Bombyx mori: one gene and its partners. The protein of the gene in region 1 interacts with the protein of each later gene in a biochemical or structural test. Links are inferred from orthologs where the notes say so. Each region holds a gene or a part of one and is shown in the gene's direction. Other genes may lie near its edges. The genes, in order: DRK, PLCg, actin nucleation-promoting factor WASL, tyrosine-protein phosphatase non-receptor type 11, guanine nucleotide-releasing factor 2 and NCK-interacting protein with SH3 domain.

The links.
Region 2: the proteins of DRK (region 1) and PLCg form a complex in vitro, tested with the Homo sapiens proteins (2 studies listed by BioGRID). The link is inferred for Bombyx mori from reciprocal best matches to the Homo sapiens genes GRB2 and PLCG1.
Region 3: the proteins of DRK (region 1) and actin nucleation-promoting factor WASL form a complex in vitro, tested with the Homo sapiens proteins (2 studies listed by BioGRID). The link is inferred for Bombyx mori from reciprocal best matches to the Homo sapiens genes GRB2 and WAS.
Region 4: the proteins of DRK (region 1) and tyrosine-protein phosphatase non-receptor type 11 form a complex in vitro, tested with the Homo sapiens proteins (4 studies listed by BioGRID, with this or other methods). The link is inferred for Bombyx mori from reciprocal best matches to the Homo sapiens genes GRB2 and PTPN11.
Region 5: the proteins of DRK (region 1) and guanine nucleotide-releasing factor 2 form a complex in vitro, tested with the Homo sapiens proteins (2 studies listed by BioGRID and IntAct, with this or other methods). The link is inferred for Bombyx mori from reciprocal best matches to the Homo sapiens genes GRB2 and RAPGEF1.
Region 6: the proteins of DRK (region 1) and NCK-interacting protein with SH3 domain form a complex in vitro, tested with the Homo sapiens proteins (2 studies listed by BioGRID). The link is inferred for Bombyx mori from reciprocal best matches to the Homo sapiens genes GRB2 and NCKIPSD.

The regions. Positions count from the first base shown.
Region 1 is NC_085123.1:5,830,048-5,835,508, reverse strand, and holds the start of DRK (DRK protein), read left to right. Parts: upstream 1-2,023; coding exon 2,024-2,101; intron 2,102-2,179; coding exon 2,180-2,277; intron 2,278-3,660; coding exon 3,661-3,780; intron 3,781-5,461. UniProt on the Homo sapiens protein: Non-enzymatic adapter protein that plays a pivotal role in precisely regulated signaling cascades from cell surface receptors to cellular responses, including signaling transduction and gene expression.
Region 2 is NC_085107.1:5,700,465-5,705,955, reverse strand, and holds the start of PLCg (phospholipase C gamma), read left to right. Parts: upstream 1-1,882; 5' UTR 1,883-2,013; exon of another isoform or gene 2,014-2,132; 5' UTR 2,133-2,166; coding exon 2,167-2,524; intron 2,525-2,637; coding exon 2,638-2,776; intron 2,777-3,311; coding exon 3,312-3,474; intron 3,475-4,197; coding exon 4,198-4,398; intron 4,399-4,998; coding exon 4,999-5,114; intron 5,115-5,200; coding exon 5,201-5,491. UniProt on the Homo sapiens protein: Mediates the production of the second messenger molecules diacylglycerol (DAG) and inositol 1,4,5-trisphosphate (IP3). Plays an important role in the regulation of intracellular signaling cascades.
Region 3 is NC_085121.1:15,505,326-15,510,333, forward strand, and holds part of actin nucleation-promoting factor WASL, read left to right. Parts: intron 1-385; coding exon 386-505; intron 506-1,902; coding exon 1,903-2,085; intron 2,086-2,607; coding exon 2,608-2,685; intron 2,686-3,028; coding exon 3,029-3,130; intron 3,131-3,747; coding exon 3,748-3,959; intron 3,960-4,497; coding exon 4,498-4,587; intron 4,588-5,008. UniProt on the Homo sapiens protein: Effector protein for Rho-type GTPases that regulates actin filament reorganization via its interaction with the Arp2/3 complex. Important for efficient actin polymerization. Possible regulator of lymphocyte and platelet function.
Region 4 is NC_085119.1:16,185,430-16,191,225, reverse strand, and holds the start of tyrosine-protein phosphatase non-receptor type 11, read left to right. Parts: upstream 1-2,136; 5' UTR 2,137-2,466; intron 2,467-3,670; 5' UTR 3,671-3,776; coding exon 3,777-5,687; 3' UTR 5,688-5,796. Other genes in the region: uncharacterized protein LOC101737689, read right to left, coding at 253-282; uncharacterized protein LOC101736406, read left to right, coding at 819-1,016, 1,083-1,319. UniProt on the Homo sapiens protein: Acts downstream of various receptor and cytoplasmic protein tyrosine kinases to participate in the signal transduction from the cell surface to the nucleus. Positively regulates MAPK signal transduction pathway. Dephosphorylates GAB1, ARHGAP35 and EGFR.
Region 5 is NC_085121.1:7,790,293-7,795,300, forward strand, and holds part of guanine nucleotide-releasing factor 2, read left to right. Parts: coding exon 1-89; intron 90-872; coding exon 873-986; intron 987-1,779; coding exon 1,780-1,880; intron 1,881-2,973; coding exon 2,974-2,997; intron 2,998-4,704; coding exon 4,705-4,810; intron 4,811-5,008. UniProt on the Homo sapiens protein: Guanine nucleotide-releasing protein that binds to SH3 domain of CRK and GRB2/ASH. Transduces signals from CRK to activate RAS. Involved in cell branching and adhesion mediated by BCAR1-CRK-RAPGEF1 signaling and activation of RAP1.
Region 6 is NC_085116.1:6,564,038-6,569,045, reverse strand, and holds part of NCK-interacting protein with SH3 domain, read left to right. Parts: intron 1-222; coding exon 223-456; intron 457-868; coding exon 869-991; intron 992-2,035; coding exon 2,036-2,441; intron 2,442-2,643; coding exon of another isoform or gene 2,644-2,810; exon of another isoform or gene 2,811-2,869; coding exon of another isoform or gene 2,870-2,943; exon of another isoform or gene 2,944-4,631; intron 4,632-4,706; exon of another isoform or gene 4,707-5,008. UniProt on the Homo sapiens protein: Has an important role in stress fiber formation induced by active diaphanous protein homolog 1 (DRF1). Induces microspike formation, in vivo. In vitro, stimulates N-WASP-induced ARP2/3 complex activation in the absence of CDC42.

The DNA.
Region 1 (5,461 bases):
GGGAGGCGAAATGGACTTAAAGAAGTGTCAAATATGTCAATGAAAACTAGTTGTCAAAGTTGTCCTTGGACTAGAATTCAAACAAGCAAAGAAAATAAAGCTTATACTATACACAAAAATCGAAGCCATACCTCTTCAGCAAAAACTAAAGAATTTTGTCTAAATTAGCTTTCCTTCAGATTATGAATAATAATATCATGGATTTTCAAAGGTTATCGTTTAATTGAAATTAATTAATTTGTCGTCTGAATTCTTATTGTAATGTCCATAAAGTTTGATAGTAATAATACACAAAAAAGAAGAGAGGTTGAGGAGGTTAAAAGATAAAATACAACGTGTACGTTTGACGTGTTATGTATCCCAGATAAACGAATTTTTGAAATTATACTTCAATAAATAAAATAATAGTTTACTATTTTAACTTAGTTTTATTTTTACTTTAACGGAAAATAAGTAGAAATGACTTAGCTTGCGATTTTTTGTTTCCCAAATTATGTACATAGTTATCTTTTAAAATCAATTTATTTTAAAGAATGTCAGCTGCGTAATATAACGTTATTATATTTTTAATCAAACTTTTCTAATTTTATTATACATTTTTTTGGTTTTATGTATTTATTTGCTTTCAAATTAAGAAAGGAGAATTAGCAAAATTGTATTTTTGTAAGCAGATTTTTTATTATGAATTTTTCAAAATTAATTTTGCAGTTGTAAATAAAATTAAGTACATGCTATTGCCCTTATTTTTTTGGATAGCAATAAACTGTTTCTGTTTGGCAAAAATATGTTACAATTTACTGATTATAGTCCTCCATTTAAGTGGTAATTATTTCACGTATCGGAACTTTTGTATCATATTAAACTTGATGCCGGCTAGAAAGGCAAAGGCAGTTATTACTAGAATCCAATTGCTAGTTTGAACCTCATGTCATAATTTGGCATTCATGTTTTGATGTCTATGAGCTTCGGTAACCACATCAAACTAGGCGGGCTTTGATCTCGCTCACGCGTTCAAGCAAATAAATAGCAAAAATAAACACAACAGTAACGAAATGTAAAATAGTGATTATTTGTAAGATAATATCGATGAAGTTAAAGAATATTTCATCACAACCACAATATTTAAAAAAAATATGGTGCGTGTACAACTTGGTGCACGTGAAAAAAGGGAAACTTCTTTTGTGGTGTGTAGTATTGTGGTTTTCTTCATTTTTCATCTTTAAATCAAATTTCCCCATTAATAAGGAATGCTATATATAAGATAAACTATCTAGCTCACTTTGTCCTTTCCCTCTCTCCACGGTCGAGTGGTTCATGAGACGCTCTGTCTATTTTCTCACTCTCGGTCTTCCTTAATGAGAAATATGTATATGCTGAAAGTGAAAAAAAATTAGCCAAGTTACCATTCAGGCAATATCATTTTGTGGTCTTTAATGGCAAGTCGTCCTTCGTCCATAGTCGTCCTTCTAGTCTACATTCTGCTGAAAAGTTTAAATTTAGACCTAAGTTTTGATGGCAATTCGTCTCTTAAACTTAGTTGGGGCGTCTGAATCTAAATCTTTTAGTCAATTTCAATATTTTCATAATGAATTAGGTTTTTAAATTCATCTACATGTTTTACGAATCCTTATAGTAGACGATTCTTATAAGTGAGATCCAATTCAAATGTAGAATGAATTTGTTTTTAGTCTTTACAGGTAAAGTTGATGTTATGTTCCTTGCCAGTATCAAAAACACACATGAATGCAAGTAAATTTTCGAGCTAAAAACACAGCTGCAAAGTGGCAACATTTTGATTTTTTTGTCAATTTGTAAAGTGAGTGATGTGTTGAGTACAGACGGATTCCGATTGGGTTTTTCTAAATTTGTAACTAAAACGCATCTTTTTTATTCAACATTGTGAGACAATACGTGCATTATGATTATTTTACTTCCTTGACATTAGACATTTTGGAAAGTTTGTGTACTTTAAGAGTTATTTTTAAGAATTCGGTGACATTTCAGTGAAGTGCCTAATTTGATCATGGAGGCTCTAGCAAAACACGATTTTACTGCAACCGCAGATGATGAGCTCAGTTTTAGAAAAAATCAAGTATTAAAAGTAAGTTAAATATTTATTTAACTTTTTGTTTTGTTTAATACCTAGCGATAGTTCTTTCTAGAATGGTTCCTATTGCAGATTCTAAACATGGAGGACGATATGAACTGGTACAGAGCTGAATTAGACGGGAAAGAAGGGCTCATTCCTAGTAATTACATACAAATGAAAAATCACAGGTAAGTGGGATATCTAATATTTCTAGTCTTAAAATTATAACTGATACTTATAACGATTTTAAAATATTCTTAATTAAAATAACCAGTTTATTTTTGACTTAGGTTTTATTTGTGAAAGCAAGAAGATATTGCTCTTGTGTAGCTATGTAGAGATCTCAGATAAAATTTAGAAAAAGAATGTTTTCATTTCATTCCAAACATTTGCTGAAGAAAACTGATAATGTAAACATTGTTTGTTTATAATTAAACTTGGGCTGGTCTACTCATTTTTATTTACATTTAACTACTATGGTATCCGGAGAGTGTTGCCAAACCTAATCTACAAAGTCATTTCATTATTCTTTAGAAGAAGAACATACAAAATGAATGTTATTTATAGATACACAACAGAAATTTCATGTAACTTACCAGCTGCCACTAAACTAATCAACAAATGTTTGTTTACATTACCAATTGTAATAATAAAAGCCAAAGTGTCTTTAAACATATGAAGTGTATTTTGAAAGGAGAAAACAATATTTGATTTCAAAGTAAATTATAAATTTGGTGTATTTTTTATTACACAATTAAGAATTACGAAAAGTGCTTTTTTTATTTGAGTACTAAACTTTATTTCATGATTCTCAATGAGAAAAGATTTGAATAGATAGAAGGTAGTTATTAAACATATATTAAAGAGAATGGTCTCTTCAACTAGAATCTGATTATACATCAGAAATAAACCTGTTGATTTTGTAAGTGCTAATGCTTTGCCAAGCAATAAAATTAATGTGAAGGCTATGCCTGAAGTGATACAAATGCTCCTTTAATTCATAGTGTTGAGTAGTACTATAATATGAATGCAGAACATACTACCATGACCACCTAATTTGAGATGTGAGATGCAGTATCAATTGCATTGTGATAATAACTGTCCTAAGGTTCAAACCTAAAGGCACAATTGCTGCAAGACAAATATGGTATACAGAGACACACATACAGTGTATGCTTACAGCATACCTGACCACCAAAAACTACTATTAGTAATAATAGTAATAAAAATTCTAAATATTTGTAGAACATTTACTTATTTTTTGTTTATACCTTACTGGTGTATTGTGTGGTGTATATTGTATCAGCTAGACTGGAAGAGAAATCTAAGCACATCCAGTGCATCGACTTAATGAATTGGATGTCAGAATGAGGTCACAAACCACCTTGTGTCAAGTAGTTACAGGAGCTTATAGATATTACGGTGTAAATTCTCACTATCCACCAGTTTTAAGGATTAAAAACTGTCTTGGGACATATTAAAAAAAAACCATAATTTTTAAGTAATTATTAATTTGAAAATAGTAAGTATTTGTATTTTAAAGGTGTGCCTACATAACCTCTCTTTTTCAGTTGGTATTATGGGCGTATTACAAGAGCAGATGCAGAAAAACTCTTAGCAAACAAACCTGAAGGTGGCTTCTTGATAAGGATCAGCGAATCAAGCCCTGGCGACTTCTCCTTATCAGTCAAGTAAGTCCTTTGTATTTTTACATGTAATGTTTATTATTTTTCACAGTAATAATAATCATTATTTATTATTTCTCTTTTAAAGTTATAGTACAAATACAAATAGAGATTAACCTTACAATTTATTTTGTTAGCCTTTGAAAGAACTGCAGTCTGTACTAGGTTCAAAGACCTGTATTACTGATCTCCAGGCTCCCTGCTTCTTAGGATAGATTAGGCTAGGTTAAGTCATGAACAGATGTCGCAGACTAAGTGTTGAGAGATCATTAGGTGTTATCATTTAAGTAGATATCAGTAGTTATCATTCCAACAGAAGACCGTTCATTATTATTATTTAAATAAACAATTTTATCTGGATGGAATGTTTTCTGTATGTTTGCATGTAAATAACTTAGTGTTTCTCTAAATGTTTTATCAATAGAGTCTATTAGTAATAAAATAAAAAGCTCCCTTATGTAATACTTATAAAACTAATATTGTATGTATATAGTATATTACAGCTTATAACTAAGGGAAAATTGTCTTTGTCTTAACAGAAAAATACATTATAGCAATGCTATCTAAAAATATATATTGGAATCACAATAACATTTACATTTTAAGTTCAGGTGAATGACCAGCATTTGCATCCACGGGTCACTGCAGTATAAATAAAGTAAATGAAGAGTAAAAAGAACCATCTATAGTCTTATGCAATTTAACATTGAAAAACCATTATAAGATAAATGTATTTAGGACGTCAGAAAATGTAATGTGTAAATAAATACTTTGTAAATGTAGTTTTAACCATGTGTGCGAATTCTAAAACTGAGTGAATATTAAAACATTTTATCTATTCATGGAAGGTTGGTCATAAGATAGATAGAGAACTTGATAAATTCAGAATTTTTCTTATCTCAATAATAAGAAAAATACACCATCTGAAATACGTACAAATAAATACATTCCATCCTTATCAAATTTTCTAGAATGACTAAACTTTATTTCCTTCTACAGTCAACAATAAAGAAAAAAAACAAACTATGACAAATACAATACTACTCATTTTACTTGTAAAGCTGTAAAATTTACCTCATATTCATCATGTGAACTAGTTCTGTTGAGTTTCTGTAGGCTTCTGTAATCACTTAACACCAGATGGGCCGTGAATCTGTTCACCCATCTGTTCAGCTAAAATAAATTGTTGTTGTAATAAATAATTGTTTTAAAATTATGTCACAGATCCATTTGGATAGACGGCTCTTTCTGTGTTTGTACTGTGTGTGCTATGGAGATGGATATTTATTGTTTATTTGCATGGACGAACTCACAGCCCTCCTAGAGTTAAGTGGTTACCAGAGCCCATAGACATCTACAACGTAAATGCCCCCCCACTCACCTCGAGACAAGAGTTTCTAAGGTCTCAAGTACAGTTACAACGGCTGCCCCACCCTTCAAACCGAAACGCCTCGCTGCTTCACGGCAGAAATTGGTGGGGTGGTGGTATCTACCCGCGCGGGCTCACAAGGGGTTGTACCACCAGTAATTACGCAAATTATAATTTTGCGGGTTTGATTTTTATTACACGATGTTATTCCTTCACCGTGGAAGTCAATCGTGAACATTTGTTGAGTACGTATTTCATTAGAAAACTTGGTACCCGCCTGAGATTCGAACACCGGTGCATCGGTCAACACGAATGCAC
Region 2 (5,491 bases), on another chromosome or scaffold:
GCAACTATTTATAAGTAAAACATCTTAGGTGCAATATTACAATTCTCGCATTGACGTCGTTCTGTTACTGTAATATTATTTCTATTCAAACTGAATCATTTATTCCTCGGTTTACAAAAAATGTCCAATTACCTATTTATTTTTAACACACTATACTTATGACTATTAGCGTTTTTTATCTTACCTATTTGCTGGTAGCGAGGCTATTACAGCTACGCGCGGACGGGTAGGTGACCTCACGGACTCAACCTGAGAGAATTTGCAAACACTAGCCCTATAAAGAGCAGTGTTTCGCCGTCGGATCTACCTCCACGCGCATACGCATACGAACCCTCCCTCTCATTCCTCCCTTCATCAGTCCACCCCTGCCCTAAGTGGCAGGGAGTTTCTGCCCGGGCAGTGGGGTTTGCCCCGAGGCCCGTTCCGTGCCCCCGTAAGGGGGTACGACGACCCTTCTTCTTCTTCTTCTTCGGATCTACCACCGGATCGTAATCACGACCTCCTGAGAAGATCGGCCGAGAAACTCAGTGGATTGTGTCTATAGATTAGTTCATTTTAATTAGTAACTCTTGGTAATAAACGACGAGTAAGTCGAAGAAGCGTGCTAAGGCTTTCTTAAGATACTTACGTACCGGTTCTAAAGATTAGTCGTGAAGGCAGACATTATACAGAAAACGGAAATAAACGGAAAAAAATTGAAAATGAAATAGGTTGACAATAAAAGAATAAAAATTTACTTATGTTACTTAAGGTTTTGTCTTTTCCTATTTATGTAAGCTTATACTCAAAATTTTGATATTTGTATTTGCGCTAATGCCTTGAAAAAAAACATTTATTTCATGTGCGTGTCTGGAATTAACTCTGCTCATTTAAGCTTACACTGTGGTTAACACTATTGATTGACCTGCTTTAAACGAGATTCGAAAAGAATCAACAACGGTATACAACGGCCCAAATATACAATATAACAATAGGTCGTGTAAACAAAAAAAAATCTACACATAGGTATCATCACAAAATAAAAACGTATATGTATGCATATAGGTTTTCCATTTCAAAACACACGTTTGCCTTTCAATTTATTACAAATTACATACATACTCTAAGTATTAAATCTATTTGATTACAATTACTACTATGTTTTGAAATTCATCAATGACCTTTCTACGTTACACTTCTGTACTTAATTAACACAATATTATTAGAATCGATATCCAAAAAAGAATTGTTTTGTTTTGGTCTTCGATCGCATAACATCAAGTGGATCATGATTCGTCTGCCTATTTAAGAAAAACATTAAGCGATATATTCATTAACACTACACATTAGCTGATTGATTTGAAGAGAGATTAAAAAAAAGTATACTAAAACTATGAAAATCTGCGGTATAGAAATCTTTATCAATAAATACATGCTTATAACAAACATACATACGGTGATGGGTTATTTGCGAATGAGCATATATCTATATTGTGAATAACTACTAATGTACTACTAAAATATCAAGGGTAAAGGTTTAAAATGTAAGGTCTATCTATTTCAATTTTACCGCCAATATCGTTTATATTTTTTAGTAAGTTGGCGGGATCCCATGATCTTAATTTCCTGGTTGAGCCTTTGCTCGCTCACCTGTCCAAGTAAAACTGGAAAGGCATCCGGGCCACCAGTAAAAGCATTCAATCATAAAAAAATGATCTTTATTTATTTAACATAGTACTTTTTTTTTAATTGGGCTATCATTATTTAATAGAACGTCTCAAACTTATCAACATGTAAAAAAAAACAATACAAAACTATAGGTTCATACTGTCATAAAATTTAGATTTCAATAAATTGAAAAAGTTTATAATTGAGCCTCTTGACGTAAGAAATGTCAGTCAAAGAATTGAATGCTAAAACCAGCTAAAACGGAACGTAATCATCCCCGTCTCAACCATCTCATCATTTATATATTAAGTGTATAATCTATGCATCTCATTTGGTTTGGAAATGTCAAACAAACTAAATATCAAAGTGTGTGTAATGTAGAAATAGCCAGTAATAATGTATTTTAAACTCGGGTGCCTTATTTATATGTAGAGAAATATTAGCAGTCGCTCTTTTATTTCATGCGTTGTTCACTTTCGCCACAGTTTGCTTGCATCCGGCGGTGAGGGCGGAAGTGCAATGAAGTCGGTCTGCTTCAACGGGGCCAAAGATAGGCTCATACACGAGGCAGACCAGCTTATCTCCTACATAGAAAGAGGCTCTACCGTTTTAAAATTCTTCCCTCGTAAGAGACCCGAAAGGCGTGCACTTTGCGTGAGAAGAGAGACCCATCAAGTTCTTTGGTCTCGAATCAATGCCCCTCAGAGACAGGGCTACGAAGGGGCTCTCGATATCCGTGATGTCAAAGAAGTTCGCACTGGAAAATCATCCAAAGACTTTGAGCGTTGGCCTGAAGAAACCAAACGTCTTGAAAGTTCAAAATGCTTTACCATTTATTATGGAACTGAATTTAAACTTCGCTGTGCATCATTTGTTGGTATGTTGAAGTAGTTTATAAACATTTCTAAATGTGTGAGTGCGCGGACTGAGTTCTGTTAATTTTATGTTTCCTCTATAAATGGATCTGAGTCACTATTTACAATCTTTCAGCTCAAACAGATAAAGAGTGTGAAGCTTGGGTGAAAGGTGTACTGTATCTAATAGCAGAAGCTGTCAGTGCATCATATCCTCTACAGATTGAAAGATGGCTCCGGAAAGAATTCTATTCTATTGAAAACTCCCATGAAAAGTGAGTTATTTTTAAAAATGTGAATGTAAAAATTGCCAGTAATTGTTATTTTACCATTCCATATGTGATTTCAATGATTAATTATGTTTCTTTCTTGCCTATTTTGGTACATTAGCAGCAATTGTTATTATTTTCCAGTAAACTAGAGTATATATAGATCTCAGTAAGTAGTAATTGATGAAAGTAAACTTAATTAGCTTTTTTACATAAATGGAACATATTGTAATGTAATTTATTGTAAGGCAGGCTTTGTCAACACATTTTTAGTAATAGGTATGTAAAAGTAACAAACTATTACCAAATGATCATAAAGTAAAATAAATTGTAATAGAAAACAATGCAAAGCTTGCAATGTAATATTAAGTTAAACTCAAGTTATATTGCTTTATTAGTCTTTCAATTGTCTGTTACATATTTTCATTATTTAGTGTGAGTAAATATGAAAAACCTATTGTTATATTAATTTTCTTATTTCAATTTAATTAGCTTGAAAATGCATATATATTGTAAATGTAATATACAAAAATCATTTTAGAATAACATTAAAAGAGGTCAAAGCTTTTCTACCAAAAATTAATTGTAAAATTTCAACAAGTAAGCTTCGAGATGTATTCCAAGATGTTGACACTGAAAAAAGAGGGGAGATTGGCTTTGATGATTTTGCTGTTCTTTATCAGAAGCTAATTTTTGATGAGAATGTAAGTATTCATCTAATTTACTAAAAAGTAGGTTATCATAAACAACAAATCTAGTATTTCTTTAAATGTTACTAATTAAACTTATTCAAACATCAAACTTGTTATTTATTAAGATAAATGAGTAGATGAGCTCTTGGCTCACAAGGTATGTAATCATCAAAGCTTATAGGTATAACGAGAAGCCATTAGTTTCTTAATCTGAAATATGGATCAGTCCATCAATAGTTTGAAACCTTTGATTGTTCTAGGGTAGAAGACATGATGTCTTGATGTTTTTGGTTGCAAATTTTTTAAAACTGTACATTTTTTAAAACTGTAAATTATTTAATACATTTTTCTGGTGGGCAATATTATATAGTATTAGATATTATGTTGCTTCCTCAAAAAACTGTCAACTATTCTATTAGAGGGTAAGAGCTGTTTAGGAAGATTATAATATGGATGTAGTGATAGTAACTCAAATTAATCCATGTCTCACATAAATTATCTTAATGATGGCTTCATCAGAAGTCGTGAAAAAATCTGTGACCTTTTATTATACTCTCATAAACAAACAATATATTATGAATGCATTAAGAACCATATTGGCTTAGAAATCAGGCAATGCCACATTCACTGAATTAATAAGAAAGTAATTTTTTATGCATTTAACTCCTTGTCCACATTATAATATTTTAATATAAACTTATAGACAGTGATGTATGTAAAATATATTTTTTTCAGAATGTTCAGGACATATTTGATAAATACTCAGTCTATTGTTCTAATGGTACTACTATTACTCTTAGAGAGTTTCAAAATTTCCTTAGAGATGAACAGCATGATAACCTTGGTGATGATGAAGTACAAGCCTCACAGTTCATCCGTGATTACTTAAGAGATCCACAAAGAGACATCTATGAACCTTATTTCACTTTAAGCGAGGTAAATTAACTCAGCAGTGTGAAGTAGTACTTCTTGCATGGTGAAAATACTTTTTCTACAAAGTTTTGCTTCCATTTTGTTTTCTGTGACCTGCTACTGCCATTTTACTTTATACATAAGACGGTTATTAAGATTGTAGGTGATTCTGGTCTTACCTATAATTTCGAGCCTCTGAGTCTTTATGGAAGGCCTCAGTTCTCCCTGTTGCTGCCCACCATAAATGCAAACCTCTTTCCTACTACTTATAGTATGATACTTATAGTAGGAAAGAGGTTGTTGTACTGGGCATGCTATGGCTTTAAGAAACTGCAGCATGCCCAGTACACTCAATGGGCTTCCCCACTTTTTTTTTGCCATGGATACTACTGATGTCCAGGAGCAACCAGGTGGTATGTACGCTCAGCGTTTTCATGATGATAACACATTTAAATTATGAGCGCCTGCTTTGCAAGCTGTTCTATTCTCGTTATCTAAAGCTGTATTCTTATACCAAATATAATGTATAAATTATTTCTAAATAATCAATTACAATATTTCTCATTCCACTAATAGAGATATTCAAACTTTTTTTAAATTTTTCTTTAAATTACCTAATTGCAGTTTGTCGAGATGCTGTACTCCAAGCAGAATTCCATCTATGACAGTCAGTATGATAAGGTTACACAAGATATGACCAGGCCTTTGTCACACTATTGGATATCTTCTTCTCATAACACGTAAGCATAAATGTTATTATATTGATGAAACTTTTCGTGGATTGCATATCATGCATTAAGTGGTTCTACATATTGTGTTATTGTAGGTATCTGACAGGTGACCAGTTTTCAAGTGAATCATCACTGGAGGCCTACGTGCGGTGCTTGAGGTCAGGCTGTCGTTGTATTGAGCTAGATTGTTGGGATGGTCCTGACGGCACACCTTTTATTTATCACGGGCACACACTGACAACGAAAATAAGGTTTATGGATGTACTGCGAACAATAAAAGAACATGCATTCATCACATCTGAATATCCATTAATTTTGTCTATCGAAGACAACTGCTCACTCCCACAGCAAAGACGAATGGCGAGCGCATTTCAAGACGTATTCGG
Region 3 (5,008 bases), on another chromosome or scaffold:
TCGCTAAGCATAGTGGTGGTTTTATACTTGTGATAGGACCTCTTGTGAGTCCGCACGGGTAGTTACCAACACCCTGCCTATTTCTGCCGTGAAGCAGTAATGCGTGTCGGTGTAAGGGGGGGGCAGCCGTTGTAACTATAACTGAGACCTTAGAACTTATATCTCAAGGTGGGTGGCGCATTTACGATGTAGATGTCTATGGGCTCCGGTAACCACTCAACGCCAGGTGGGCTGGGTCCACCATCTAAGCAATAAAAAAATAATGAGTTATTACATAAGTTAAAAGCAGCGTGTATGCTTTGTCATTATTTGACATGCGAATTTTAGTGCAACATCTACAATATGTATCAGAGAGTATGTGTAATAACTTGTAATGATCGCCCAGGTACGTACACACTGAAGAGCTCCGGAAAACGGAAAACGACAAGGAAATTGACTAAAGCCGACATCGGGATGCCTCACAACTTCACGCACGTTTCTCACATCGGATGGGATAAAGATAAAGGTGCGTGGATCTTTTCTTTTTCTCCTTTTTTTTTTAGGTATGGCAATTGGCTTCTTGCGACGCCATTGTTGCCAGTGTCGAGTTCATAAAAATCTTCAATTGTAAAATACATACTAATATTCTGTTATATGAAGTAAAATAGGATGAAGTTAATTGATTTGACTATTTAATCGATTGGGATAAAATTAAATGAAACAAAATTTTATTGTGTGCTTAGTGCGAGTTTTTTAACGCTCTCGATAGCATAAAAGTTAACTTTTTGTATGCAGTTATAACAGCGCCCCTAGCGGCAAACGTAGGCAAACGTTCTGTTATGGGAATTTACTCTGAGGTCGTTTTAAAAAAAGGAAACTTTTAAGATTCGAACTATTTTATTTTATTTATACAATATGGATGATATACGTAATTCTCAGAGTAACCGCGAGAGCCGCACCCGTACTCTAAGACAGTTCACTCTCTACTGACTGTTCTCCGGTCTCCTTTAAAGTCTCTACCTCGAACCGTCTAGTCAGCGGTTTGAGGGTATCAGCATTTTAGGGTTCAGTACTCTGTACATATAATATAACAGTTCCAACTGCATACTAATTGGAGTTAACTATCAGGCCATCGAGAACGTTAAAAAACTCGCACTAAGCACATTGAACATTATTTTTATAAATGACTAGCTGTAACGGTCCGCTTCGCTGGGCATTTAAAATTAACATTATTATTTCTCACCCCCACAAAGATTCTCATCATTAACACCCCCGTAACTGGTGTAGGGAGTTCAACACTCATATAAATATTAGCCTATCCATTAAGTACATGCATATTCTACATGGATACCAAGTTTCAAGTCAATCGGATGCATGGTTCAGTAGTTATAACGGAACATCCGTAAAATAAAAACCACTGTAGATTTATATATTAGTATAGATAACCGATAGTCGCACAACGTCGCCTCTTCATTTGTAGCCATGAAGTCCAAGTCTCAGTTATGTTACAATAGCAGTGGTCACAGCGATACACAGGATCCCTTCGCGACTGATTCGCACCAGGACCTGGTGATGTCCACCCGTGCAGACACCCTCATCACAATGATTCCACTTTCGAGATTTGGATAGGATAGATTTGGATTTGAACTGGTGGTAGGACCTCTTATTACTGGTGGTAGGACCTCTTGTGAGTCCGCGCGGGTAGGTACCACCGCCCTGCCTATTTCTACCGTGAAGCAGTAATGCGTTTCGGTTTCAAGGGCGGGGCAGCCGTTGTAACTATACTGAGATCTTAGAACTTATATCTCAAGGTGGGTGGCGCATTTACGTTGTAGATGTCTATGGGCCACAGTAACCACTTAGCACCAGGTCGGCTGTGAGCTCGTTCACCTATCGAATTAATAAATATATTAACGTTTTCAGGGTTCGACGTGGAGACCACACAGGACGAGAAGCTCCTGTCGTTTCTGAAGGAGGCAGGAGTTTCGGAGGTCCACCTTCGCGACCAGGAGACGAGGAAATTCATATATAGCTTCATAGAGACGAACGGTGGCATTAACGCTGTCATGGAGGATCTGCACACAAACAATGAGAAGCCAATCAAAGGTATCATCAATCATCAATTTTGAAAATCGTCGTCGTGGCCTAAAGGATAAGACGTCCGATGCACTCGTGTTGAGCGATGCACCGGTGTTCGAATCCCGCAGGCGGGTAACAATTTTTCTAATGAAATACGTACTCAACAAATGTTCACGATTGACTTCCACGGTGAAGGAATAACATCGTGTAATAAAAATGAAACCCGCAAAATTATAATTTGCGTAATTACTGGTGGTAGGATCTATTGAGTCCGCGCGGGTAGGTACCACCGCCCTGTAAGCGGTTACTGGAGCCCATAGACATCTACAACGTAAATGCGCCATCCAAATTGAGAGATATGTTCTAAGGACACAAGTATAGTTACAACGGCTGCCCCGCCCTTCAAACCGAAACGCATTACTGCTTCATGGCAGAAATAGGCGGGGTGGTGGTACCCACCCGCGCGGACTCACAAGAGGTCCTACCACCAGTAATATTTTAGTTTTCCACTCTATCCTTACGCTGACCGTACGTATCGATGTTCCGCAGAGCGCAGCGCGCCGTCCCGCGCGCCCGCTCCCCCCGTCCCGCAGCGCAGCCCCGCCCTGCCGCACCCCCCCGCGCCACGTACGTACAGCACGCCGCGACACGTGCAAACGTTCACATGACATTTTTAATATGTACACTTTTAATTACCTAATTGATATAATGGTCATTTAACAAAATCAAACAAATCAACTTATTCATGCCTTGAACCGATTGATATTAACAAATTACAAATATTTAGTGTGAAGAAAACAATTCGATTATTTCACTTCACAAGTATGTATATAATGTTACTGGCGGTCCTCACTGGCCCAACGTAAGGCAAGTCATAATACTAAACACTATCGCTGGTACAATTAGTAACTATGTAGAGATAGGGTTTCGCAGATGTTTAATATCGAATGTGTCTGTTGCCGACGTATAGCGTCGCGAGCGCCGCCCCCCCCGCCCGGGCGCGCCGTGCCGCCTCCCCCTCCGCCGCCCGCCTCCGTCGCCCGCAACCCGCCGCCGCCCAGACCCGCGCCCCGTGAGTGCACACATACTATACACCAATATATCTTGTGATCATTGTTTCTCTCAGCGTCAGCTGAAGAGTAATTCTTACGGTTACTATGCACTTATTTGTATATGAGTCGACTATTATCAAAGCCGGCAATCTGACTTTTGGACAATGATTGGTAAATCAGAAAAACGGATTATTGACTTTGTATTCCATTGGCAGTCACAAAACTCTTCGGAACGACATCTTAGATAAATAACAGGTTAACTATTAACCTTTATTTAATGCAGGTTTTGAACCGTATTCTTTGAAGGAGACGATTATATTCAAATAAATCTATTGACATATCAATAAATTTTTTTTGTCCCAATGCACAGATTGCCACCTTTGATAATAGACGACTCATATATGAACATAAAAAAAAACTTATATAAAAAAAAAAAACATGCCCGCTGAGTTTCTTGCCAGTTCTCAGGACGGAGGCTAGTTTTTGTGAATTGGCGGTAGTTTGACGTTCAACAAGTATGTACTTTTATTTATGTTCTATACAATCTGAAGTAAATGTTTTCATTGTAAATGAATAATAATAATTTTAATATTAAGGTATACAGCAAAAATCGTAACACGTTTTATTCTTTATCCAGCACCATCGTCAGCGCCGCCATCAGTGCCTCCTCCGCCGCCGCCGGGCGTGGCCCCTCCGCCGCCGCCGCCCCCTCCGCCCCCGCCGCCGCCCGCGCCCGTGGCTCCGTCCCCGCCCCCGGACGCCCCCCCGATGCCGAAGGACGCAGCCGTCGCCGTGGACGCGCGCGCCGCACTCATGGAGAGCATACGTAGTGGAGCCAGCACTTTGAAGGTCCATATCTTTATTCTGTAAAATTTTTTTTCTATACCTCGAAATTTCCAGTTCGGCCTCGTCTTTTATTTATTTTTTATTGCTTAGATGGGTGGACGAGCTCACAGCCCACCTGGTGTTAAGTGGTTATTGGAGCCCATGGACATCTATGACGTAAATGCGCCACCCACTTTAATAAGTTCTAAGATCTCAGTATAACTACAACAGCTACTCCACTTTACAGAAAATTTATTAAATACATTACAGGAATTTACAGAAAAAAAAATTTGAATATCCCAGATGCGCTATAAGGGTCTTTAATAATTCAAACCTGAATTCGAATTGATAAAGTTCCGGGATACGTTTAATATTTCTTGTATTATTAAGCGTGCTTTTAGTTTTAATGAGCAAGCAATGTTAAGCAAACAATATTAGGGGTCAATGTCCGCCTTCAAGGCGTGTGAAAACGATCGAGTATCAAACCGTACTACTGACATTGTATTGAACAACATCAATATTGCCGAATAATAATAAATTTTATTATTTACTTAATTTACAGAGAGTCGAACCTGTTGCCAAAGCGCCACCTGTCGAGGACAACCGGAGCAACCTGCTGAGCGAGATACGACAGGGCGTCGAACTTAGATCCGTGAGTACACCCTTCAGATCTGCTTATGTAAAAATCAGTAAAAGAATATCCTTTTTTTTTTTATTGCTTAGATGGGTGGACGAGCTCACAGCCCACCTGATGTTAAGTGGTTACTGGAAGCCATAGACATCTACAACGTAAATGCGCCACCCACCTTGAGATATAAGTTCTAAGATCTCAGTAAAGTCACAATGGCTGCCCCACCCTTCAAACCGAAACGCATTACTGCTTCACGACAGAAATAGGTAGGGCGGTGGTACCCACCCGCGCGGACTCACAAGAGGTCCTACCACCAGTAATTACGAAAATTATAATTTTGCGAGTTTGATTTTTATTACACGATGCTATTCCTTCACCGTGGAAGTCAGTCGTGAACACTTGTTGAGTACGTATTTCATTAGAAAAATTGGTACCCGCCTGA
Region 4 (5,796 bases), on another chromosome or scaffold:
AGCTGCTTCACATTTCAAATCGGAACACGTGACTCCTTCGGGGCAGAAATAGGCAAGATGTTATTTCTTCATCGTGAAATTTGTTCCTGAAGTAAATCCGTATTTTCTATACCGGAATAGTTATCTACATCGCTTGATACACATAGCATTTTACTTTTTAGGCCACGGCAACTTTACGTAAGTATTATATACGACTAAATTATTATGTACTTTCACAATATTATATATTTTAAATATACACAAAAGACAAACCTGAGACTGCAATGTGGCCGTAGCTGACATTTTTAAAACAATGCTGTTGTATAATGTTCACGCGTATCTACACTGAAATCACTTTAACCGCATTACCTACGTATTTTGTTTTCCCGCCATTACCTTACTTTTTTTTAAGCGTATTTATGACCTGGTTACTAAGACCTTTAAGTCATGTCTTATGACTTAAATTCATATTCTTATTTTTATGAAAAATGATAATATGGAGGATATTAAACAGTTAATAAACCACCATTATTACATATTGAAACCTGAAGAAACACTAAATAGACAAAATAAAGCAAATCACACAACTTCCCTCCTCGCGTTTCCGCCAAATATCTTAGGCTCACCTTACCTTACATTTTCAAGCGTGCTGCCACAGATAAATTTGCGATTGAAACCAAAAAGTTTTATTAATAATATTTCAAAACTATATAGTTTCGGTTTTTGAATTTAAAACAAAATACAACAATAAACACGAATGACAACTGGTGACAAAATACACAAATAATTTTGGATTTATTGAATTGTGAAAAAATTAAGAACTGAAAAAAAAACCGGAAATGTTGTGCCCAGAAGGCTCTCAGCCTGAAAATGATACGTTATCCAAAAGCAATGATATCTGCCAAAAGAAACCAAACAAAGTTCCTGCTGAAGGAACAGACAGCTTGGAACTAACTTCCTATAAAAATCCTAAGACATGGAAGAAATCGATTTCTAATTTCTTCAGAAATCAACTACGTTCAACTAAATCCAATGAGGTAAGCATTTGCATTAATACAATCTGTTAAGATATTTTTGCCGTTGCTAAAAAAAATATTTTTCAGGGTGATCGGCCTTCAGGCAGTAAAGATAATTTTGAGGAAAAAGAGATCACTCCTGACCAAAAGTGGCAATCTTTGGGGAAAGTATTTCGTCGTCAAAGCTTTGCCGAAACGTGGAACAAGTCTCCTAAATCGCCAGGAGAAAATTCATCTCACAGTAAAAGGCTAGCGGTAAAAAAGGTCATTTCATCTTACTTTGGCAAAAGTCAAAAAGTTACGTCGGCGGATGGTGAAAAATAAACATGTACACAAATAAAAATGTTATACAGATCGTGTTGTATTTTAAATCACTAAGTTCGTTATTTGTAAATTTCACTTAACTAAAACATAAAATGTATTAAAACAATTTGAAAACAAGTAATTTAAAATGATAGACATGAATCATGTATGAAAATTATTTACGTTCAAAATGTTTACTTTGTCAGATATATACGAATATTCTTATGCCTAAATTTTAATTCATATCTGAAACTTCTCTTTATACTACTCATTAGAACATACTACAGTTATAAGAACCAAGTAGTATGATTGTGGTCCTTGTTAATTCCATTGAGGAAGGTCCTTAACGCACTAAGAAAATGCTCAAAAACCACCTTTTGTGGATTTTATGTAATTCCAAAAATTAAAGTATCGAACAAAATAAATTTCTCAACCCTTAAAGATAATACAAAAAAAATTAAGATAATGACCAAGGCTATTTTACTTCTATCTGATGAACTAACTGTATACAATCTTTCGTATAAGACCTTTTGTTGTATTCTTTGTATATTTTCTACGGTTTGAGTGAAAATAAGGGAAACATCCGATAGTAATAATTGCAGTACCTACCTACATCAATCATAAAGCAATGTTAACACAAAATATATATCGTTTGGTACGAAGTGCTTTGTTATTGTCCATTAATTAAACGCTTGGAAATTAGGTTATAGCTCATTTCTAAAATTACCTAACACATTAATTTATAGTAAGATAAATTTTAAACGTTCGAACTAATTTGTATAGATAAAATAGTATAGAAACAAAATTGGAAGTTCGTTCAAAAACCGATTGACATTCTGTTGACAACTTGTCAAGGCACAAATGGGCTACAAAATCACTAGACTGACATTTCTCCAGGCAACTCAAAGAACAAAATTCATTTTCAGCTTTTCGTGCTAAATAATTTAATTTACGATTTATTTTGTTTAATAACACATTTTCATGTTCGTTTATGCTTTTAATTACAACATTAGGTTAACATTCGAGCCGTGCCAGTGTATTCAGTGTATACGCCCTTGAAAATCGTGTGTAAAAAATCTAAAGTCAGCATAGCAACAGTACTTAGATCCGTATAATTATTATATTATGGGATACCGCCGGGATTGTACATCACGGGTGCCTTTATGAGGTGAGTAGTGTGTGTTGTGGTCGATATAGGCGAGTCTAGTACAAGGAAAAAGCGTAAAATGAATAAAGAAATGTACCTTTGTGTTACATTGCCATATATACATATAAGTGCAAGGCTATATGTCACTTTAAGCCAGTCGAGAACACAATAATAAATTAGCGAATTGTAATCCTGTTGCCTATTTTTTCTATTTATATTGCGATATACAAATCTGCAAACATTTTCCATTTAATATATTTTTTCTATATGCAATACCACTTGATATCTAACAGAAACCAAAACATGTGGTAAATCAATAACTTTACTTAAGTTTCCAACAACTTGGTTTTGTTTTCAGCAAAAATACCCAAATAGGTTATGAATCTCGTAATTCAACAAAACGAGCCATTTCTCTGATTCATCTAAAGTTCTATCACCATTCATATATCCCAATAGGAAGGTAGGGAAAAAGCTTAGAGAGTAAGTTTAAAACTATATTTTGCCAAGCTTTTAACTCTAATGAACACACATCACATACTTTTAGCAAAGTGAAAAAAGGTGTTACTGAATACTAAGTTGCTGAAACTGCAAACCCTCACTCTAGAGACTCTGCTAATTATGAATTTATACTTTATGTCTAATGGTAACAACTTAAATGGGCTGTTAGCATGTACCTACAGCAATATCAATGAAAAAATAGTATGTGCACCATGGGAAAAAATTAGGACAACTCATCCCGCGTGTTTGGCAACTTTACACGCGGGAGGAAGTGTCCTACTTTTCTCCCTTGGTGCACAATGTACTATTACTTAAAAAAAGTCTTCAAGGAATCTGTAACAGTCATAAAGAATTAAGATGTGTAATAAAAGAAAAAGAGTACAACATCCAAAAAGTTTAAAAAGCATCTGATATTCTAAGTAGATATTATAAAACAAATACACACAATAAAAACATTTAGGTAATATAAACATACAAAGATACTTAAATAAATAAATACACAATGTTTATATTAATATGGGCCTTTAGTACTTTGAAAGAATTTAAATCATACTCTTTTCTGGCAGTATAAGTTAAAACATTCAGAATTTATCACAGTTTATTTCCAATGTTGAAATAACTTGGAATAATCTCTTTCAAAATACTCTTTCAAAACAATTACGTTAAAATGTAAATTATATTATGAAATGAAGAAAAAATAATTAAGTATTGTTTTCATTATTTCCAGATGGTTGATGAAAATGTACGGGCATTCAGAAGTGAACAAGAAAAAACACTGAATTAATATTTAAGGTATTGTAAGTTGCAAAAGTGGTGCTTTCTATTAGTGTAAGATGATAACTCGAAGATGGTTCCACCCCTCGCTGAATGGTGTGGACGCGGAAAAATTGCTCATGGAGTGCGGTCACGATGGGTATTTCCTGGCCAGGCCAAGTTCAAGTAATAAAGGAGATTTCACTCTCTCCGTCCGAAGAGGAAATGAGGTCACTCATATAAAAATTCAGAACAACGGCGAATTTCTCGATCTTTATGGAGGTGAAAAATTTGCTACCCTGTCAGAACTCGTCCAATATTATATGGACAATCAATGCCAGCTAAGAGAAAAAAATGGAAATATAATTAGGTTAAAAACGCCTCTCAACTGTGCAGATCCAACAACCGAACGATGGTACCACGGGCAGCTCACTGCCAAGGAAGCAGAGAGAATGATGATGGAAAACGGAAAAAACGGGTCGTTTCTCGTTCGCGAATCCCAAAGGCAACCTGGCGACTTCGTGTTGTCCGTTCGCACGAGAGATCGAGTTACACATGTGATAATTAGGCGAAAGGACAACAAATATGACGTAGGTGGGGGGCAACAGTTTGACGATCTCGTAAGTCTAATAGAATACTATCGTAGTTTTCCCATGGTCGAGACTACTGGTGAGGTACTAAGATTAATCCAACCCTTCAACGCTACACGTATACAGGTAAGACATTTTCACACGCGCGTAAAACAACTTCAAAAGGAAAACGAGGGACCCATCGAGAGCATGGCCTACAAACAAGGTTTCTGGGAGGAATTCGAAACGTTACAGATGATGGAGAACTTGCAGTTGTTCGACAGAATGGAGGGTTCGAAACCGGAGAATATTAGGAAAAACAGATACAAAAATATTATACCATTCGATCACACGCGTGTTATTTTAAAGGACATCCCCCCTGACGGTCCTCCGGGCTCAGATTACATCAATGCCAACTACATTCGATGTGACAGTATGGATTCCATTTCCGATTCCCAAGAATTCACAGGGAACGGCAGCACTGAAAACGGCAAAGACGGTACGCCGTCGAAAGCTAAAGATAAATCATCGCCTGTTCATACAAGCGTTATCGTAACTGAAGAGCCGGTCAAATCAAGTAAGAAGGTGCACGGCAACGGAACACACAAGCTGCCGGCGTTCGAACCGAGCGTTCTTCGTCCCAACCCGAATTATTTCAATACGACAATACCGAAATCAGCGACCGAAACCGAAAACGGTGTGCCCACTGTACACGTGTACAACAAAACGTACATAGCTACTCAAGGCTGTCTTTCGACAACAATATACCCGTTCTGGTCGATGATATGGCAAGAGGACGTCCGCATCATCATAATGACGACAAAGGAGATCGAGCGCGGGAAGGTCAAATGCGAAAGGTACTGGCCGGACTTGAACAAAACAGAGGTCGTCAAGAAGTACACGATACTTAACGAATTCGAATCCTCCACGCCGGATTATACGCTTCGACGGTTCCTTGTCACGAAAAAAGATGAGACTACAGTGAAGCGGACCATATATCATTTCCATTTCACGGCCTGGCCGGACCATCGTGTTCCCTCAGAGCCCGGTCGCGTGCTCAACATTCTACTGGACGTGAACTACAGGCTACAGCAGATAATGACGGGGACCGATCCTCCGGCGCAGGCGGTCGTATGTGTTCATTGCTCGGCGGGTATAGGTCGGACGGGAACCTTCATAGTCATCGATATGATCTTGGACCAAATAAGAAAGGAAGGGTTCGACTGCGAGATCGACATACATCGCACTGTGCAGATGGTGCGCGACCAAAGGTCCGGTATGGTGCAGAACGAAGCTCAATATAAGTTTATCTACATGGCCGTGTTGGAGTTTATCGAAACGGAGAAGCAAAGGGTAGGTCTCGGGCCGGAGGCGGCACAGGACTCGCCGCGAGCCAGGTCTATGCCCGTACCATTTTTATGAATAGCCTTGAAAGTTCAAATTAAAATATCAAAAGCTTTATAAACGTCGGAATATCGTAGATGAATGTAAATAATAATATTTTAAATGCATCTATCTTGTAACTTGGTTA
Region 5 (5,008 bases), on another chromosome or scaffold:
GTGAGCGAAATGAGGTGCACAGTGCAAAGTTTTGAGAGCCGCATGAATGTAACAAACATGAACCAATGTATCACGCACCATTCCTCGCAGTGAGTGTCCACACCCTCATCGTTACCTTCACACTGTAAACGGTTCGCTCAGATAACCTATTTTAATTAGAATTGAATGTATTTTCTGAATATCGTGTTCCATTATAAAAGTTCAGTTAAAATAGGTTTTTGAGCTAAGACAATAATTGTTTTCGTTCCTTTTTTTATCAATTTTAACATTTTTTTTAAACCAACTTAATTCACAATTGTTGTAATCTTTGATTAACATAAATTTTCATCCATTTATTTGTCAGAATTTTGTGCCGACTGTGATTCTTCAGAGTGGCTAATTTGACGTTGTAAATGACTCAAAAGCATGAAACAGTCAATTTAATATAAACCACAATAGGTGCAAAAAAGGTGTTCAACAATGATTGAGTGGTTTTGTAAAAATGCAATAATATGTTTCGAATTTATGGCCAAGTTAAAAGTCACAATAATTAACACTAATCATACCAACACTTACTGGTTCCCTTTTTCTACCATAGCGGGTAGATAACGGTATAATATGACAAGTAATACTAAAAACAAACAAAACAAAACAAAAAGAAATAATATAATACCAGTAGATTAATTGGTAAGAAAAAGTCATGAAGTGCGCAAAAGCAACAAGATGATACGTGCATTTTCAATACAAAAGTTCAAAATGGGTCATTTGACCCGCTATGGTATGTTTAGTGTTAACGAACAGAACGACAGCTGTCACACCAGTAAATCGACTTCGTATTCGAAGTTCGACTTCGTAACGTATTAGGCAATTAATGTTCTTCGCAATGCTTCCAGCAGACTGGCGAGCATTACTTCAGACGAGAGCGAGACTCCACCGGAGCTGCCCGCCAAGACGAGGCGCAACATTCGAGCCGACGTACAGCAACACTTCCCGAATGTCGAAATCAGGTATATATTTATTCGTTTTTTTCTTTATTATAATTACAAATATATGTAAAATAATAATCGTTCATGTAGCTGGACAGGTGCAGTCCTATTATTTTTTAAACCATGTACATATCGAAGGGTAAAAGGCTATTTGGTTTAAGCGATATTCTAACGACTGCAGGAGAGCCATTTAAAGTACAAAATTTGGAAAAAAACCATAACAAAAAAAAACTTCAGCTATTTGAATGGAGTAAACGTAATTGAAGTTCAGTTAAAAACATCTAATCGTTGATACTAATACCAAAAAAACAAACCTTTAATTACAATGATAAATGTCGCGTATATCAACCGAAATGTCGCTTAAACCAAATAGCATTTCACCCCTCGATATCATGTAGCTCACGTTTGGTAAACTCGTCTGTAATGTTATAACATTCGTATGGCATTCGCTAAAGTGCAAATATTGCTAAAGCTGGAGAAAATCAAACAAATTTTAAAATGACTTCTGAGTTTTATTGAGGTAAAAGTGAGAGTAAAATAAAGTGCTCGTTGTTGGCCAACGAATTGTAATTCTGCAAAGGTTGCATTAAGTAACTTGTCGTTTAGGCGTGACGCTTGGCTGAGTTAATTGCTCGTCTGATCCGCTAAGCGAGATCATTTTTAGATTTACACAATGTTGTGATGCCGCAATACGTCCCACATTTTTCCGTTGTTTTAAATATATATTTTTGTTTACAAGTCGAATTTAATAAAAAAAAAATTGTTGAATGAAAATTGTTTGAGCTAAAAAGTGTTAATAATAATATGTGTTTAGATCGAACCCAGTATGTTCTCTGCACGGCGATGCCAGACCGCACACATTAGCTGATCACCATCCACCGAGGCCCCCACCATTGCCGCTAAAGAAAAAACACAGTGAGTATATCGATATTTTTTATTACATAAAAAGTATCTGTAGGCATTTTCATATATTCAATAGTAGTTAGATTAACAAGTGTTGCAAGAAATCGCCGAATTGAATATCAGATTTTATTTATAAATTATTTGTTATAACTGATCTATGAAATTCCGTATGACAGTTATCGAAATAGTTTGTGTAACCATGTGAACTAGAAATTTGGTATCTTTATGTGTATGTATGTCTATAGTTATTTGTTTCATACCGAGGTAAAGTTCTTGTGTATTTCAACAGGATAAATAATTTTATTTTGGTGTACAATGTTTATATTTTCTATAGATAACATAGAAAATACAGATTATAATACGCATTAAAGAAAAGTTATTTAAAATGTGTAAGAATTTTAATATTCAATTGTTTTACTATCCTGAAGGAAATATATATCAAACCATGATAACATCACGTAATACGTACTTGTTTGATGACATAACACTAAACATAAAATGAAAAAAAAAAATTAGTTTTGAAAATTGCATATTTTTACAAGATATTGTTAATACTTTGAATTATGAAGAATTAATGCTTATGAACGGTACATTGTGATTATGTACGTTTAGAAATAACTTCATAATCTATTGGGAATCAGAGTATAAAATTTGTTGGAGAAAAATAATTGTTTCTGGATTTTTGAAACTAATTAAATGCAATCTCCTTTTTTGGTACTTAGCGAAATTTCAAAATCATTACAATTAACAAATAAATACCAATAGTAATTTTTTCATTTCTTGAATCAAACATATCAATTTTTATGATGTCGACTTTGCGTTTTAAATAAAAAAACAATAAAATTATAGTATGTAAATTATGAAACTACCCTCAAATTTTCACTACTTGCATGGGTCTGCTCTCGATGTGTCAGTATGGTCCGTCGTTACTGGCTGTCAGTTCATCCTCACGCGCTCACTGCACTCTGGAATGTAATAACGTCTGCGATTGTGTCATTGAATGGGAATGTCTGTCCTCGGAGGGTACTTCTTGAATGTAAATGTTATATATATTGTATGTTGGGGCTATAACGGCATGTTTGTCTTTGTCGGTGCGGCGCCGCAGTGTTCCAAAGCGTCGCCTACAGCGGTGAGTGGATCTATGCATGAAACGCGCTACACGATGGCTCTGGTGCAAAACACGATGGGAATCAATTATGTTTCGTCGATCATAAAACTCTATTCAATTTCTTTTTTTATGACTACAACGAACAAACGAACGAATATTAAAAAAAAAAACTAATATTTAAAAAAAAAAGACATGCCCGCTGAGTTTCTTGCCAGTTCTTCGCCGGACGGAGGCTAGTTTTGTGAATGAGCGGTAGTTCTTTTTGACGTTCAACAAGTGTGTACTTTTATTTATGTTGAATAAAAAAAAAATGATTTGATTTGATTGATTTAAACACTATGTGGACCTTTAAATAATACGAAAACATAATTAATCCTGATGTCGTGTTTTGTGTTTTTTTTTAAACTAGAGATCCACTCCATTGAATGACATTGGAGTTTATATATAATTTAAGTGTGCTTGAAGCAATCTTTGTTTTGAAGTTGATCCCTCATGATAACCATCAAGAGGTCTCCTAAACGCTACCAATTTTGTCTAATATATTTCGTTTTGCATCATTACATTGTCACTAACAAAAAAAAAAAATGTAAATAAATTGTTATGAAATACTCTTGATTCATAATTTTATTCATATAAAAAGTGTTCAATACGAAGCCTTGAGTATAATACATAATGAAAAGGAAGGGCTCTCATATTAGGAAAATGTTTCGAAATGCGTTTACGTAAGCCGAAACAGTTCTAATATACTAAGCAAAGCAATATGTAATAGTTTTGTTATTAATTTTTCGTGCATCCACAAACTAATCTATAGACAGGGGTCAACGACATAAACCCTGACTATTGCGCGTCTGCTGATTTTTGGATGTGATACATTGCGTATAAAAATGTGTTTAGATCATGTTTTTTTAATTGTGTACGCAATAAGTAGTACTAATTTTTGTCTTCGTTTTCGGAACGTTTTAGAGAAACTAGATAATTAAATATAATTGTGGTATTGGTAGAAAATTTTACAGTTCACCTTCATTGTGTTAGTAAATTCTTGAACATCGCACTATTATTTTTCTGGACAAAGTACTAAACAACACATATATATTCTGTAAAGTATGTATAATGGAATTGCTTTGGCGTTGAAGTTTAGGATAATCTCAATTATCTAAGATTTAAAATTTATGTTTCAAAATGTTAGGAGTTAAATAACCGACGCCTAAATTTTATTTTTACCGCAAAGAGATTTCTCTTAAAAATAAATTGATGAACAATCTTCGCATTTATCACGATAAGCCTGCCTTGCTTTAAACGTAGAAATGTATTTATTCCCGCTAATTGGTATATCGCAGCTTGAAATAGCGTATTGTCGAATATACGCGACGTAGCTAATTATCACTTATGAACTTACTTAGTGCTTCATTATAATGCGTCCTTGCTTTGTTCGGTGTTCATTTGGCGGCTCATTGTACATACAACGCACGTATTCCATGTTCACAACAACCATAGCGTGATTACTTTTCATTAAATCATAATGTTAGTAGTGTACAAAATTCACTTGAAGTTATTGAAAGCATTAAATAAATAAATAAAAACAAAGCTCTAGCTTGTTGAGTGAAAATTTTAATAAATTCTATTATAATAAATAAATGTATATTTTTTTAGTTATTTTAAAAATCACGTGAATTTTGTAACACTTGATGCGTCTTTATATCGTTTAACCAGAAATTTGTGTTTGTGCAGTAATGGCGTACATGGAAATGTTCGGTAACTGTAGTCACCCGCCGAACAACGCGGCCGCACCGCCCGATATGTTCCGACATTCCATACACACGTACAATTTGGCCAGGTTAGTGTTTTTTTTCTCATTTTTTAACAAACCAGCTGACCCGGTAGACTTCGTAGTGCCTCAATCGATTAATAAAAAACCTATACTTTTGTATAAAATAAACTTAAAACAAACAAAAGGAATCCGTCCGACGGGGGATACATCAAAGGGAAAACAAAATTGTTATTTTTATTTAACTCCGAGCATTTTCATATATTT
Region 6 (5,008 bases), on another chromosome or scaffold:
AGCAATACATATTATAATTCAGAAAATCTAAGCCCAAATACTAAAATTTTGAACAAAGTATACAAATTATGCAACCTCAAACACTAAATGTCTTTTTGCTTGTACTGATAAACATTGTAAAGTGGTTACTAGAGCCCATAAGCCATCAACAACATAAATGCCGCCACCATCCTTTAAACATGAGTTAATAGTAAATTAAAACATAATCCTTTGTATTTTCAGGAGTTCCTACCTGGTGGTGCTGCAAGATCCATTATAGATGCATTACTTCGTGAGGCCAATAGTAATATAACCTGTCCGAAGAATGCTATTGATGCTGCTCCTGATGCATTGAGGATGATGACTGCATTGAATGCACTTTCCAAAGCAGCTAATGATGCTCAACAAAGAGGCTGGGCATTGCATGATGACTCACATGACATACAAACACAATTGCTTGAACTGATCTCCGTTATGGTAAGCTAACGAATATAATAAACTTTTTGTTTTGGAAACCAGAAACTCCCCCATCTCATATTCAGTAGTTAGAGAAGCTTTAAAACATCTTGTCCAGGGACAAGTTAGGCTCAGGAGCCTAACTTCTCTACTTTATAACTTTACTGCTAGCTGTTTGAAGTTACATATTTTGCTTATTGAATACCTAGTAACTAATTGCCTAAATATATTTTTGTAGCCATTGAATATTATTTATTTTTATGTCTAATTATTTTTGTTTTATTACACAATTGTTTGCTCTCAATGAATAAAGTATATTGGTTGCTTAATAGTTCCAACTGGAATTACCTGCATTATTGCATAAGACATATTAAGTTGCATATGGATGAGTCTTATATACTACTTTACGTAATAATAAAATATATCGTTTCAGTCAAATGCTGATGTCAACATATCCCAACATGTGTTGAGCAGTCATCGATATGTTTATGTGACAACTTTGGTACAGTATTATCAGATGGAAACTCGGTGGCCCCTACGTCAGCTACTGTTACAGGTAACCAATGATATGTTTTGTGATTCTTCTAATGTAACTGACTAGTAAAATGAAAACATTAAATACACCCATTTATGATAACAACAGAAAACAATAACATTCATTATAAATATTAGGACAATTGCAAAGTCTTCTTATGTTGTCTCCCAGAAACTTATCCATTAATGCATCATTGTACGATGTATAATAGTATGAGTATTACATAGTTACACTGAGATATGTATGTCTGAGGATGTTAAAAGCATGAAAAATAGCACGATACTTTAAAAAATACAGAAGCTTAAAAAGAATTTCATATTTTTATAAATTATAAATATAAGACAGTTTTAGTTAGTGCTCAGTAAAAGATCTTGGCTTAATTCCAGTCATAATTCATTTAAATATTCATTTTAAACCAGTGTTCAATTTACATAGTACGGATTTCAATTCATTGGGAATAAGCAAGACCTGAGCTTGTTTTGGATTATTCTAAGTGATGAAACTGTATTCTAATATGGAAAAGTGCTTGTAATTAACTACTTAAATAAAAAGTCAAAAGTTAATTTTTTACGTAGTTTTGGAGGCATTCCGAATTTACTTCCTACTTTTTAAACAACTTCAAATAAAAATAAGGTGGAGATACTCAATTTCTGCTGTAGGATTTTTTGCATCAATGTTGTATGATTCCTTTTTCCAACAAAACAGATTATATCTATTTTGGCTTTGCTTGAATTTGACTCCTGTGTGCTTAGTGCGAGTTTTTTAACGTTCTCGATATCGTAAAAGTTAACTCAAATTTGAATGCAGTTGGAACAGCACCCCTAGCGCCAAACGTAGGCAAACGTTCCAACTCCATACAAATTTGAGTTAACTTTAGCTTTAACTTTACACTTAAACGTTAAAAAACTCGCACTAAGCACACTGCTTAGAAACCGACTTAGTTTGGATAAGATTTGTTAAGTATATTCGAACCTAAAAATATTTTATCACGAATAATTAAGAGCGCCCTCCTGGTTAGGATAAAGAAAACTTGAATATTCGCTTAATGGTCATACGCTTTTTCAGGCATTTGGTATAATGTGCGGCCTAGAGCGTACAGCCCTAGCAACATTGGCGCTGTCATCGTTACCGGCGGAGATTGCTCGAGACATGCGCGACAACCCTAGGGCCGTCAGCCGTCTCTCTCACTCCGCTCTGCTACTCTCCATGGTTCTATCTATGGGAGACAAACTTCCGGTCACACATTTCGAGCAGCTCGGCCTTGAATTTGCACAATTTTTGCTGGAGTTGCTTGAAGATCCACCGGAAACCGATGTCGATGAACAGATACCTGATTTGTTTTCAACTCTCCTTTTGGCCTACAACTTGCAGTTTGAGAACCCATTCGACAACATATTGTTGAATGCATTGGAAACAAGGGACATGGCCAAAACATTCTGTGAGAAAGTGCTCTTGTTACTCAATCGTGAAGGTAAAGTGGCTTAATTCAATATAAAACAAAAAGATACAGATGAATTATGTATGTGTATAAAAAGAATTAATCTCATTCTGCATAATAGGGTATACTTTGTTAATCATATTGTTACGCGCTGGGGTTCGGGATAAATAAAACTTCCACCGAAGTACAAATTAAAACTCTATTAAACACTTAGACTTCTTCCGCTTCGCTTCAGGTGATCTGTTCGCTGTTTCGCTTCGAGTAGATCCGATTACTAACTGCCTTCGTGCAAGCAAGCAAGCAAGAGGGGTCGTTGTACCCGTTGTACGGGGGCACGGCGTGCTGCCTTCGTGTCATTTCTGCAATGCTTTTATAGTCGATACGACATCCCTAGAATCATAGATTATACACTTAATATATTAGAGATAGATGCGCAACTCTCATTTTTATTTTTGCTTTAGTTAAAGCCCGGTCCAGCAGGCGTCGCTACGGTCGATTATTAGTCTCCCTACCCCCCACCAGGTGGCTTTTTTAGTAATTTTAATATTTTTAATAACTCTCTTTATGAAAAAATCTTATCGTTTAGAATCGCTGAAATTCCCGGTAGTACTTATGAGATATTAAGGAATGTTTGATTGTGTTCAGCATTCTAATCGATAAGATCTTTTCATACAGAGAGAAAACAGTTTTTTAAAATAAAAAGCTGTAATTCTCTGTAAGCTATTTAATTTCCCTATATTACAAACAATTTTCTGTTAAAAGATTGTATGAACGTACAATTGTATAAAATTTCGAATAACAATAACTCCTCTAGATTAATCCTACTAGCGTACACATTAAATCGAAAGTTATCTAAAAGTTAATTAAGTCTAGATAATCAAATCATTCAATGTCAATTAAGTCATTTGTGCGAAATATAAACATGTCAGCTTTCCATTACAAACATAGTAGACAATTTGAATTAAATTTAATAAATTTGTTTCTTAACGATAGCAGTTCTTGCTTAAAGTTGATCGTGACAGATCATGACCTTGTATGAAAATATTACATTTATAAACACTACCTATGCTTCGTCATACAATAATTGTCATTTAAACTAGCATTGTAGAGATAATACACACACTAAAGTGAATACTAAATTATTCTTAGCATTCTTATAAACATTTAGAAATTTAAGAAACGATTAACCCACTATCATGTTCATAACATGTGACATTTTATTCTGCACAAACGTTTTGTTACATGATTTGAAAAACAAAAAAAAAAAAACAAAAAATGTTTAAAAAATGTAATGATGATTTAAAGTACTCTTAAATATTGATAGTTTGTACTTAATGACGCTTATAGTAATCTTAGACATGATTACATTAGTTATACTTTTATTCCCTATCTAAATTATTTCTATTCTGACGTTTCTGATGCTTTAGCTTTGGTAATACTAGATGAAACAAACAGCAGATTGAAAGAAAATCATCTTAAAGTTAATTACATTCATTACAAACCATTAGTTTGCATTTTGTTACAAAAGAAACTGATGTTCGTTACATGCAAATGAATTATAAACATACACATGCAAACATAAAATGTAAATTTATCTTTTAATCCAAATTAAATGTACATTAATATTACATCTAAATAATAGAAAGGGTTTCGAAAATTTTTATTGCACTCAACAGCAGACGAGCACGCAACCCGGCTCATGATAAGTGGTCACCAGTGCTTATAAACTTCAGCAGTGCCATAGGGGTTGCTGTCTATCACTTAAGTTTTAATAAATTATTAATATACTCAGTCACAAGCATATTGATTTCACATAATGAAAATGTAAGAAACATAATCATGTTTGGGCATTTTCATTTATATCTGCTCATACAGAAAACACAACTTAGCAAATATATTCCACAGTTAATCTAAATAATTGCAAATAATGCTTTTGAAGACCGTTGACTTTTGATCATTAATTAAAATCATCTTCTCGTAGAATTTACAAAAGGTTATTTACAAAAATTTATATCAGTATTTTCATATATTACTAACTTACTAATTACAACTATTCAAACGTAATACTATAACTATAAGAACTAAACAACCTATTTTAAAACAAAATTGGCATCAATTTAGTTCTTATGAAGTATTTCAATTATTAATTTATAAATTATAAACATATTTAAAAAAAATTAAGATCCTTGAGAGTTCACGTTCCTTGCTGAATCAGTTTCTCTTCTGAAACGGAGAAACAAAGTATCTTAAGTATGTAACAAATATTGAAAAATTTAGTGTTAATGTAATCATACTTACAAATTAATATATTACATAACACGTTCTGGTTCAAATATAGTGCATCAATCTTTTCATGTTTCAGACATTTTAGTGCTCCTTATAATTTTTCCATAAAATTTTGTCATTATCAAACCTTTGTCTACAAAAATAAAAACATTATTTTATATTGGGTAGAAGGATGAACGTGGTCACAGGCCACTTGGCGTAACTTGGTTATCAAACACCAGGAAACAAAACGTGAATGCCATCATCTAACTTTGGATGTGAGATCAATTGTGCTGTATTTTATTTAAACAGGAAACCATGACTGATTGATCATT